3 linked regions of the Cricetulus griseus genome follow. The protein of the gene in region 3 interacts with the protein of the main gene of each other region in a pairwise test. Links are inferred from orthologs where the notes say so. Each region holds a gene or a part of one and is shown on either strand. Other genes may lie near its edges. The genes, in order: Spag8, Zbtb32 and Pitx1.

The links.
Region 1: the proteins of Pitx1 (region 3) and Spag8 interact in binary tests that used the Homo sapiens proteins (3 or more experiments, as listed by UniProt). The link is inferred for Cricetulus griseus from reciprocal best matches to the Homo sapiens genes PITX1 and SPAG8.
Region 2: the proteins of Pitx1 (region 3) and Zbtb32 interact in a two-hybrid assay, tested with the Homo sapiens proteins (2 studies listed by BioGRID). The link is inferred for Cricetulus griseus from reciprocal best matches to the Homo sapiens genes PITX1 and ZBTB32.

Annotation. Positions count from the first base shown.
Region 1 is NC_048595.1:99,874,117-99,877,859, reverse strand, and holds the start of Spag8 (sperm-associated antigen 8), read right to left. Parts: upstream 2,294-3,743; 5' UTR 1,688-2,293; coding exon 1,659-1,687; intron 1,571-1,658; coding exon 1,069-1,570; intron 910-1,068; coding exon 496-909; intron 371-495; coding exon 196-370; intron 10-195; coding exon 1-9. Other genes in the region: Hint2 (histidine triad nucleotide-binding protein 2, mitochondrial), read right to left, coding at 2,514-2,605, 2,719-2,791, 2,882-2,986, 3,083-3,223. UniProt on the Homo sapiens protein: Microtubule inner protein (MIP) part of the dynein-decorated doublet microtubules (DMTs) in cilia axoneme, which is required for motile cilia beating.
Region 2 is NC_048602.1:5,237,914-5,241,656, reverse strand, and holds the start of Zbtb32 (zinc finger and BTB domain-containing protein 32), read right to left. Parts: upstream 2,601-3,743; 5' UTR 2,382-2,600; intron 1,504-2,381; 5' UTR 1,405-1,503; coding exon 539-1,404; intron 342-538; coding exon 268-341; intron 1-267. UniProt on the Homo sapiens protein: DNA-binding protein that binds to the to a 5'-TGTACAGTGT-3' core sequence. May function as a transcriptional transactivator and transcriptional repressor. Probably exerts its repressor effect by preventing GATA3 from binding to DNA.
Region 3 is NC_048596.1:274,818,431-274,822,173, reverse strand, and holds the start of Pitx1 (pituitary homeobox 1), read left to right. Parts: upstream 1-1,460; coding exon 1,461-1,629; intron 1,630-3,743. UniProt on the Homo sapiens protein: Sequence-specific transcription factor that binds gene promoters and activates their transcription. May play a role in the development of anterior structures, and in particular, the brain and facies and in specifying the identity or structure of hindlimb.

The sequences.
Region 1 (3,743 bases), on a different chromosome or scaffold from region 3:
CACGCTTCCCTGTAGGAAAAAAAGGAATCTGGTCAAGAAGCAGCTTCAGCAACAAAGTTGAGAAGGGACATCTTGCCGTTTGCCCTTAGAGCCACCAAACCGTCCACAGTCCCACCAGAAAGTCCTGCTTTTTTTTTTTTTTTTTTTCCCTCTGCATACTGGGCTCTTTCTGATCCCATCTCTCATGCTTCACACCTCGAAGTGGCTGATAGGCTTTTGTTGGGGGTCCGTATGAATCTTTCTGGACGGTGCTAGACGACATGGGTGATTGAAGTTGCATGGTCAGCAGTCCCTGGTGTCCGTGTCGAAAGAAGTAACTCTCAGAACCATCTTGAAATATTGGGATTTGATCCAGGTGGTTGGTGGCTCTCTGTGGACCACAAGATCAGTGACTATGAACTCCCTTCTCATTCTGACCCCTATCACAAACTATTGGCTCCTCTAGGAAACTGGGGCCGGCCTTCAGGGAAAGGGGAGCAAGCTAAACCTTCATACCTCTTCCTCCCAGTTGTGAAGGAGACTCTGGCCACGAGGCAGTGTTTTACAGACAATCTCAGGTTTACTTTCGACCTCTGGGAGTTTCCATGACCCTCGTACTCCAGGTTCTCCGATTTGCAGGGGTGACCAGGGTTGTTGGTATGGCTCATAGTTGCGGTACTGATTCCATATTTCACCATTAGGGAACAGATCTCGTGGGATGTTTATGAACCCTTGAGTAACGGCGGAGCTGACCTTATGCCTAGGTTCAGGGATAGCAGGGCCAGGTGCAGAGGCAAGACCAGGCTCAGGCTCAGGCTCAGGCTCAGGCTCAGGGCCAGGGCCAGGGCCAGGGCCAGGGCCAGGGCCAGGGCCAGGGGGCATGGGCAGGGCCAAGGGCAAGGGCAGGGCCACGGCCAGGCCAGGGCCAGGGCTACGGCCAGGGCCAGGGCCATGGCCAGGGGCAGGGCCAGGGCCAGGGCCATGGCCAGGGCCAGGGCCACAGGGCCAGGGCCCAGGGCCAGGGCCAGGGCCAGGGCCAGGACAAGGCCAAGGGCCAGGGCCAGGGCCACGGCCAGGGGCAGGGCCAGGACAAGGGCCAGGGCCAGGGCCACGGCCAGGGGCAGGGCCAAGGCCAGGGGCAGGGCCAGGGCCAGGGCCAGGGCCAGGGGCAGGTCTATATGTAGAACTCGAACCCGAGCCAGAGCCAGGGCCTGAGCCTGAGCCCGAGCCTGAGGCCAAGGCAGGACCAGAGCTGTGACCAGAGCTACCGCAAGGATAAGAAGAGCCAGGCACAGGGGATGAACTGCGGTCTGTGCGGTCTGTGGCCCAGACATTCCGAGGTATGTAAGAAATATAGAGGGGTTGATAGCCAAAGCTCCCGTGGCCTGTCTGATAGGATTTAGGGCAGGGAGCCTCGAAAAGACTGTCATAAGAGTGCTCTGGTGGCACAGAACACGGCTTATGAGCCCCTGCATATAATCTATCTGGGGCAGTTACGCCCCTTAGGCCAGGCCTAGGACTGCCACTCGAAGAAAAAACGGGTTCTGAAGTGCTCTCTAGTCCTTCGGAGCTGGGCAGTACTTCTAAAGATCTGAAAGAAACACATACGTCAAGGATGTCAAAATCGCTGCGAAATTAGTCCGTTGACCTTCCTTGTTCCCCTGTCCAAGGCTCCTTACCGCGCTGGAGACTCCTCGGTAGACTCCATTTTCAGACTCCAGCTACCGGGTTGCCATGGAGACGGCAAATAAATCCAAGAGACTGCGCACAACTAGAGCTGGGCGGAGCGAGATGGAGGGTATGACAGGAGATAAACACTCCAGGGGCGAAGTCTTAGATTTGGTGATCTCCAAGTCTCAGCTCCATTCTGCCTCACCTGGACTTTCAGGGTTCCACTAGTCTGAACCCTAGGCTTCATGCCCAACTTGATTCGTTGTGACTAAGGGTGACTTATGGGGATGCATTGGAGACACGCACAGTTCATCAGTATGAACTCCTGTTCACTTGGTTCATTCCCTAAGTTGGAGAGCAGCCTTTTTTTTTTTTTTTTTTTTTTTTTTTCTTTTACAGTCTAAGGATAAAAAATACATGAAGTGGGGTCTAAGAATGCAGCCAGTGGTAGGAGTGGTTGTCCAGTGTGTCCAAGGTCCTGGGTTCCATCCTCAGCACACATAGATAAGAGGTAACAGCAAAAGGAAAGGGAATATGGTAGATAGATCTCTGTCCTGTCATCCAGACCAATTTCTACTAGTTCCCCCCTAGAGGTCTGACCTAGAATGGACCATTAGAAACTAGCAGATCTGCCCTATGCACTCCTTTAAGCCCCGACTAGGTCATATGATCTTTTATTCTGACCATGGTCAGAGAGATCATAGTCCCGAATCAATTTTCTTTCACCTTTGTAGTATAAATCTGTTACATATTTCAGACAGGAATGCAAAACTGAGGGGGAATAAGTTTATTAATGCCATAGGATTTCTTTTCCCTTTCTCCACCCACACATCCAGGTCTGTGGTCCCAGGTCACCTGGCAGGTTAGCCAGGCGGCCACTGCAGCTGTCGGCCTCCAAGTACGTGAATATGCAGGTGATACACGGACTGTGCGCCCATCTTCCCATCATTGACCACTGAAATGAGCTTGAGGTTAGGGATCAGTATACCGGGAGAGGTCAAAGACTAAAGATCACACTGAGAAACAGGGATTCATAGGTGAGCAGACCAAAGGACAAAAATCACTCACCAAGCCGATACCCATCTTTCAGACCCTCAGCCTTTGCTATCTTCTTGGCCACAAGGAGTAAGTGTCCTAGAAGCTACAGGGGGAGGAGAGGGACAGAGGTGGCTCCTTTCATAGCTTAATCCAGGGCTCCCCCCAGACAGGCCTCTGGCCCTGTTCTCCCCACCTGCTGGTCTTCTTCTTCAGCCTGGCTAATTCGAGGAATGGGCTTCTTAGGAATGACCAGAAAATGCACAGGAGCCTGAGGGGCCACATCACGGAACACTAGACACTGGGGGCAGTGACAGATGAGAGATCACTGTTACTTCATCAGACCCAAAGGCACCTATGAAATTCTCAGGAGGGTTAGACCCTATGGGGATTTCACCTGCTGGTCTTCATATAGAATGTCAGCTGGGAGGCTTCGGTCCAAAATCCGGGAGAAGATGGTTGGCGCTGCCCCTCCAGGAGCTGCTTTCTGGGCCTTGGCCACTTCACCCCCGTCAGTCACACCTGCATTTCCCCGGACCTTCCGGGTGAACCCAAGGGAGAGAGCTGGCAGTAATTTCCCATGTACTTATCTGGGACTAGAAGAAGCTGGGCTCTAAGAGTGTTTCTAACTTCATTCTTCTAAGAAGCTATTAATGGTTCCCCTTAGGGAAAGTCCCTGGATTTCAGTGCCTGAGTAGCAATGGGTGGGCCAGATGCTGGTGAGTGAGCTTGGTTATAGAACACACAGTAATTACTATTAAGGATTTAGGAGTGCAATTGGTTCCTGTAAATGTGCCTAAAGAAATCTAGCATTGTACAGGTAAAAGGACCCAGAAATCTGTAATGCCAGCAGCACCTGGGATGGGGAGGCAGGAGGATCAGGAACTTGCCATTCTTAGCTACATAGGAAACTCTAGGCTAGTGTGGGATACCTAAGACACTATCCCCAAAAGCAAACAAAATGACATTAAGGTCTCAGTTCCTATGTTACCATTAAACACATCAGATAAATCCCTGAGAGCTTCAAAGAATGGTTTCAATCCCGTCCTAGGAGAGCT
Region 2 (3,743 bases), on a different chromosome or scaffold from region 3:
AAGTCAAGATGGCATGACCAGAATCCCTGAATTGAGTCAATACATCCAGGCAAGAAATTGAGAGCTTTGGTGACCCTGAGGTAGCAGTTCTCTCGCCCTGCTTACTGTGTACCCTTACCCAGACTCTTTTGTCTCCCAAGGGCTGAGTTGTTCAGGGCCCTGGGGAAAGGATCCTGCAAGTAGGGTAAAGTAGGGGCCCTGCTAAGGCCTGACTCCTGGAGCCCAGCTGCTGTGCAGAAGCCCTGGATGGAACAATGAGGGGCTTACCTGGAGTGGAGCTAGAGGAGGCCAGCTGATTCTGACTCCAGAGACCTTTGGAGTGGCTCAAGGTCAGTGGGATCCTGGGTGGAGAAGAATTACAGCCTTGGCGAAGCCTGAGAACCTAACCAGCTCTGGCCTCTCTCAAGATCAGAATATTTTGTTGTCTCCTTAACTTAGCAAACGTATGGAGACGTGGTTCCCTCCCACCCATGACTGCTGCCTCTCCTGAGCTAAAGCCCCCCCAGCCTAGATACCTTCCACTAAGCCCTTCACTCACCTCTGGTCTTGAGGCCAGACCTGCCAGGCTGCAGTGACGGGGGTGCTAAGGGAGGAGGGAATGCCATATCTGGGCGGCCACAGGAAGATGCTCCACAGGCCAGGTTGGCCCTCTCCCAACCAAGGGGCCTCAGCCCACCAGGGCCTGGGAATGAGGCTGGTTAGGGGGGAACCTGGTAGGGAAAGGGGACCAGGGCACCCACGAAGACACTCCTCAGAGCCCTCAGGGCTCTCTATACCTTGTATGGCCTCTCCTTGCTTCCTTTCTGCTCCCCTGTGGCCCCCAGGGGCTGAGCTGAGGGCCTCCTCTGCTCTCATCTTCCTAGTTAGCCCTGCCCTCTCAGGGCTCTCTCCGGGTGCTCTGCGCTTGTGTAACGTCTCCTGTTCTTTCCTGTTACTCCTAAAATCCTTCTCTGGGCTCTGTTTCTCTCCAGGACCCCCCGGTCTTCTCTCAGAACTCCTCGTGAGTTCTTCTGACACCTGGTGCCTCTTCAGTCCTCCATGCAGCTCATCTTCGTTCTTGTCCCTTTGAGCTCGCTTGCATGCCTCTTCCAGGGCCTGCACCCCCAAGGCTCTGGCCGCCTCTTCAAGGTTCCCCAGCTCCCCAGGCTGTAGCTCCACGCTCTCTCCATACACAAAGGTTAGCAGCTGAGCAAAGGTAGAAGGGCTGATGCCTTCAACCAGAGCCCACCTGCCCCTGCATCCCAGCCTCGGGCTTGCACCTGCCAGCACCAGGCTGTGGGCAGGGAACTCCAGGCCGCCTACAGTGATCAGGGTATCACACAGTGCTGGCCGAAGCCTAGCCGCTAACTGCACCAACCGATCAGAGCCATAGGGGCTGATCAGCCTTGTGGGGGTCTGGGGCATTGCTCTCGACTAATCTACCAGTTTCAGAGGCTCTGACAGAAAAGCCACAATGGGGGGTCCATGGCAGAAAGGGGAGGGAGAAACCGCATATTCTCAGGCCTGTGGAGGGGAGGGGAGAAAGAGGAGTGACTCTCCAGTCTCAGACTGGAGCTGTCTGTCCTGAATGAGTCATATAAACCAAGTCAAAGGCAAGCTGGGGAAGCAGCGGGAAGAGAATCCATCCACATTGGGTCAGGTTTGGGGCCTAAGGAGCAAGAGCCAGGCAGTTAGCAGAGGTAGCAAGCAGTGGGGTCTAGGACCCGTACAGTTAGCAAACTCGGGTTTAAAGGTTGCTGCTTCCCCGGGCTCTTTTGCAGGGAAGACCCACTGAGCAGCTTGGGCTTTTCCTCACAAAACTTGGCATTTATGAATGAGTAAGATGCCACTTCATGAAAGACCTCAAAAAGCTTGTGGGTCTTCCCACAATGTGAGCCCAGACAGCTGGACAGGTTACGCAGGCAGCCAGGCAGGGAGAGCAGGTGCTAGGCATCACTCCGAGGCTGGAGCTTCTAGCACACAGAGAAGGAATGAGGAAGACTAGAGATTGCCATCCAGCGAGTTGAGAGAGCCACACCAGAGGTTTAGAGAAGGCTCTGGTGCCTGTGGAAGGAGAAAAAGGAAAGGGAAACTGGAGAACAAAATGAGGCTAACGAATGGTTTAGAAAGTGCCCAATAAGTCGAGGGTTGAATCACACACAAGAAAACCATCACAGGCCTCCAGGATACTGGAGACAGACAGATCAAGAAATAGCCCAAGTGTCTTAGCACCTAGCAGGCCTACCCCCGGTGCATGCAGGCCCTCCGTGAGCCGGGGCCCTGTGGGAGGGAGGGAGGGAGGGTTACTACCTGGACACCTTGGGGTGAAGGGTGCCAGCTGGCAGGGACTGCACAGAAATGGTTGGAATGGAGGGGGCTCAGCTCCGGGAGACAACACTCACCTCTGTAGCTGCCTCCTAGCACCGCAGCATGCTCGCATGCTCGCATGCTCGATACTGCTCTTGGGGCTCCTGCCCCCCACCCCAGCTAGCTCCACCCCTGTCCTCAGTCATCCCAAGTATCAGTCTGCCACAGTCCCCCCCAAAGGGGTGTGGCTTTATACCTTCTGTCTCTGCTTGAGACCTGCCAGAGGCTACCCATCTACTTTTAACAACCCAGGCTGCCTCCTCACCTAACTCTGTGATTTGTCAATTCCTTAGAGCCAAAGACATCAACTGTGGCCACAGGTACTTTGGAACAGTCAGAGGCTGAGCCTCATTTGTGCCATTTACTAGTTGAGTCACCTTGGGCAAGTCATCTGTCTGAGCCTCAGTCTCCTCATGCGTCAAATACCACTGGTGTCCTTTGGAGGAGGGGTGAAGACCAAGGGCCATGCATAGGGAAGTAGCCGCCAGTACAGCCTAGCATTCAGCTGCTATTCGGTCTGTCTTAGAGGTGACAGACGTGTGGAGTAGCTGCAGACCATTTCTGCCTGAAGCAGAATGTGAAGCACGGGGGAACTGGGGGCCATGCCTCCTTCCTCTCTCCCTGGCTGGGTACATTGAGCCCCTCTTATTCTGTGAGGTTGACCCTTGTCCTCTGGACCACAGCAAGGGCTGGGGTTGTGTGTGTGTGTGTGTGTGTGACTCAGATCCTCCAAGCAGACTCTGAGGGGGGCAACCCCAGGAAGCCTGTGGTGGTCTTCGAAGAGAAAAATCTCCTTTTCCTGGGCTGATGACAAATGACATTTCTCTGAAATCAAAACCAGGGGCTTCTTTCACTTTCTGCCCAAGGGGTCAAGATCCCTGGAGATTTCCGCCTCTTATCACGCTTTTAGCACCACCGTCTCTTCTCCTCTTCCTGTGTGGCTCACGATGTCCTTGAAATGTCTATCCTGCCTCAGCCAGTGCCACCACACCCATTTCTGACACTCTGTAATTTGAGGAAGGGACAAACCCTTTGAGACTCAGTTTCTTTTTTTTTTCCTTTTTTTCCATTCTATTAATCCGATTCCTAAGCTGATCTTTCCATTCCCTGAGAAGATATCTTGGGATATTTGTGGCATGTGTCTGGTATTCATATAGGTACAATAAACAGCTAAAAGAGAAACTAGGCAGACGTTGGTAGACGCTGTGGTGACAAGATTCAGTCTCGGTCCCCATAGGTTTCTCCCTGGATTCCGGCCCCTCCTAGCCCCAATGGGGTAACATTTGCTTTTCTCCCTTTGGCTCCAGGGCTCCAGGGTATTCAGACCAGACTTCTACTCTCTCCCTCCGGGCCTAGGATGCCTTCCCTCCCATTCTAGCTTGGATGCAGGCAGGTGT
Region 3 (3,743 bases):
GGGGACCACTCTTGGGAGCCCAGAGGGTAAAGTCTTTGCTTGGGGAGGGGCGGCTCTAGAGCTACGATTTCCTAGCACTGTGTAGGGGACTCTAGAAACCAAAGGCTTCCTACACTCTCAGCCCAGGGTCGTGAGATGGCAGTCACCTGGTCTAGCCTGAAGCCCTGGGAAGTCAGAAAACAGGCCCCACGCCGCCCGCTCGCCTGGGCAAAGTTACCCTAGAGGAGGGCAGAGGCTGGCAAGGCCTACCCCTTGGCTGCCAAAAGCCTGATCATAGGAGGTGTAAAACAAAGGCGGAGGTGGAAAAGGTAATGGGCCTTGCTGGGCTCTTGGGGTCTCCAGCCCCACTCACCACGGCCTAGAGCCAACAGAAACGTTTCGTCTGATTAGAAGCCATCATTTCTATCCCAATCCCGGAAAATTGACTGCGGTGCAGACGAAGGCCTGAGAAGCAGCCTTAGGGGAGAGTGTCCAAGCTAATTAGAAGACTGCATCCGGGGGCCCATTAGAGCTCGCAGGCTGCTGTCACTCAACCGGCCCGAGTTCCTGGGAGAAGAGACTGGGGAAGGAGGGGCCGGCGGCCCCTCGAGGACACCGCTGGGAGCTGCGGGAGCCGGGAACCGGCCCTTGGCTCGGCCCCCCGCCTGGTGCTGGCTCGGAGGCGCGGGCTCAGAGCGATCCTGTTCGGCGGGCGAACCTTCACTCATCCTAGGTTGCTCTCGCCAGCGGCTGGCGACTTCGAAGCGGCCCAGACAGGAGTTGACTCTCAGCGAAACAAGTCATTTGGGGCCCCAAGGTGGGCACCAGCCGCGCGGGACTTGCAGGCCAGATGCGTTTCTTTTGTGCGGCCGAGGCAGAAGTCGGTGTGTCACCGGGGAAGGAGGGAGAGGCGCGGTGAGGCCGCGGGGGGGGGTGAGGCGGCGGGAAGGTGGCTGCGAGGGGGAGGGCGCGGCGAGGCCGGGAGGGAGAGGGAGAGAGGGAGGGAGGGCGGCGGAGAGGGCGCGGGCGGGCGGGCGGGCGGGCGGCGGCTCGGGGCTGGATTCCGCCGCGCTCGCTCGCTCGCCGCTCGCTCGCGCCCTCCTCCTTCTCCCCCAGCCCCCCCACCGAGGCCCACCCACCACCCCTGGCGCAGGGACTGCTGGAACCTGGCGGCGCGCGCTGTCGTTTTCAGACAGACTCAGCGGGCTCCGTCCCGAGCCTTAGAAACCGGCCTCGAATCCGGAGCGGGGCCCGGGCCGGCCGGGCGGCTGAGGCCGGAGCGCGTGGCGGAGCACGGAGCCCCACGCCCGGCCCCGCAGCCCCGGGCGGTCGATGGAGCGCGGGCGGCGTCGCTGCTGGCGCGGGCAGCCCTGGGGGGCAGCCGCTTAGGCGCCGCGCTCTTGTCCCCAACAGGTCGCAGCCGGGGCGGCCGGGCGCGCCCAGCCCCGGCCCCTGGAGCGCCCGCTGCGGTCCCCACCTCCATGGACGCCTTCAAGGGAGGCATGAGCCTGGAGAGGCTGCCGGAGGGGCTGCGGCCACCTCCACCGCCGCCGCACGACATGGGGCCCAGCTTTCACCTGGCCCGCGCCGCCGACCCCCGGGAGCCTCTGGAGAACTCGGCCAGCGAGTCGTCCGACACCGATCTGCCAGGTAAGCGCGGCTCCCCGCGGCGCGCACCCAGCGGCTTGGCGCTCGGCCGGGTCCCCCTGCGCCTCGGCATGGGCATGCCGGAGCTTTCTTTTGCCCGGTCTCGACCTGACGGTGAACGCGGAAATTTACACACGCTCTCGCACGCACACGCGAAGCCGCTTCCAAGCAGTCCCCACACGCCAAGCCCAGAGTGGGACTGACAGCCTCTGTGGAACAGGCGCAAATTGCACGCGCGAGGAAAAAACAAAACAAAACAAAAAGTTGAGTTTTCCCTAACTGATCGCTGAGGAGCCGCTGGGGCGCAGGGCAAACAGCAGATGGAGAATGGAGGGGAAAGCGAGACAAAGTGCCCAGAGAGACACAGGCGGGCGACACCTTGACAAACCGGGAGGTGCAGAAGGAGGAGAGGGTCCTAAAGGAGGGGTAGGCGCACAGAGCAGGTTAGAAGACAGGGGTCAGTCAAACGGAGCTCCGGGGGACAGCGAGAGCAAGCCGGCCAGGAGGCGCGGACTGACTCCGGAGGAACCCTGCTGGAGGGTCCCGGCCCACGTGGACGCCCGAGCTCAGAGCCACCAAGGGTCCAGCCAGAGCGGTTCTAGACTGACCCCACAAATTCCGCGCTGCCTTTTTCTTTTCTTTCCTTTCCCTTTTCCTTTCCCTTTTCCTTTCCCTTTCTTTCTCTTTCTCTCTTTCTCTCTTTCTCTCTCTCTCTTCTTCTTTCTTTCTTTCTTTCTTTCTTTCTTTCTTTCTTTCTTTCCTTCTTTCTTTCTTTCACCCAAGAGCTGAGCCTTCGACTGGGCGGCTTCGGCTGTGGCCGTTTCCAGGCCTGTCCTGTCTCAGAGTGGCTGCGAATCCGTTGGGTCCCAACCCCGGGTGGCCGCGGAGCACCCGGCTGCCCGCTGTCCCGGCCCTGGGTGCCTCATTGATTTAGTCTGTTTGTTTCTGTTTTGCATCTCTAAGTGACTTTCCCCAGCCGGTCTGTTTGCTTGGTTAGAAAACAAAGCTTTGCCTGTACTTTTGTTTTCAAAAGTTTTAAGCGTGGTGTTTGTTTAAAATTCAAAAAAGAACATAGTTATACATTGCTTTTTACATCAAATCAGCGGGGTGGTTAACAATTTTAATCGTATGCTTCCTTTGAGACAATTCATTAGGTGTATTTCTTTGGAATTTAAAATACATACATACCGCATGATTCTTGGAGCAAAATTTAAAAGTCAATTCAAAATGGCGCATTTCTCTGAGATTTTTTTTTTCAAAACCCTTTTGTAGCAGTTTTATTTTGTGAATTTAAATAGTATAGCTATAACGTATTTCTCTAGGGTTCGAAAATCTCTACCAGGGTGTTACTGTGAAGGGGTCTAAAACTTATTTGCAATGATGCATGGATTTTTTTTCCCAGAGAAATACCTATGTGACTGGTTTATACACATTTGGCCTTGTATTTAGTTTAGGGGTGTGTTTGCACGAATGGTTTTGACTTCTTGATTTACATTTGCTCTGGTTCTGTCTGCCTAGCTTTGAGGATTTGTGGACCTTTGTGTTTTTAGGTGGAGAGCTATGAGCTTCTCTAGGCTTCTGTTTTGTTTTTTTAATTCCTTTTCTTTATATTTAAATGTTATTGGCTGTGCGCATCTCCTGTAGCTTTAAAGAGACAGAGAGGCACGGTCACTTACACAGAACCTGTCTTATCTAGGCTGCAGTTGGTGGGTTTTCTAGACCTTGGGACCCGAGGCCGTTGTGGCTCTGACACAGCTCGGGCAACAACGTTTCAGCTGCTGCTGGGCTCTTAGCCCACAAATCTACTAGCTTAAGTTGGAAATTTCTGGTACTAGTTCAGAAAAACAGAGATGTTCCGGGAAGATTTACACCCGCAAGAGTCTCCAAACACAGTGTGCTTTTGCTGGTGACAGGAGCAGCCAGGCCGCAGCCAGCGCGGGCTTCAGGAAGCAGGCTCCGCCTAGCCGGGACCCCAGGTCCGGTTGGGGCGTCTGGGCTCTTCTCGGTGGCACACCAGACCTTGAGGTGCCTACTAAGGACCAGCACCCGGCCCGCTCTTTTCCAGTGGGGGACAGTTCCTAGGGTCCCTGGTCGGAGGGAGGGCAGCCACCACTCCC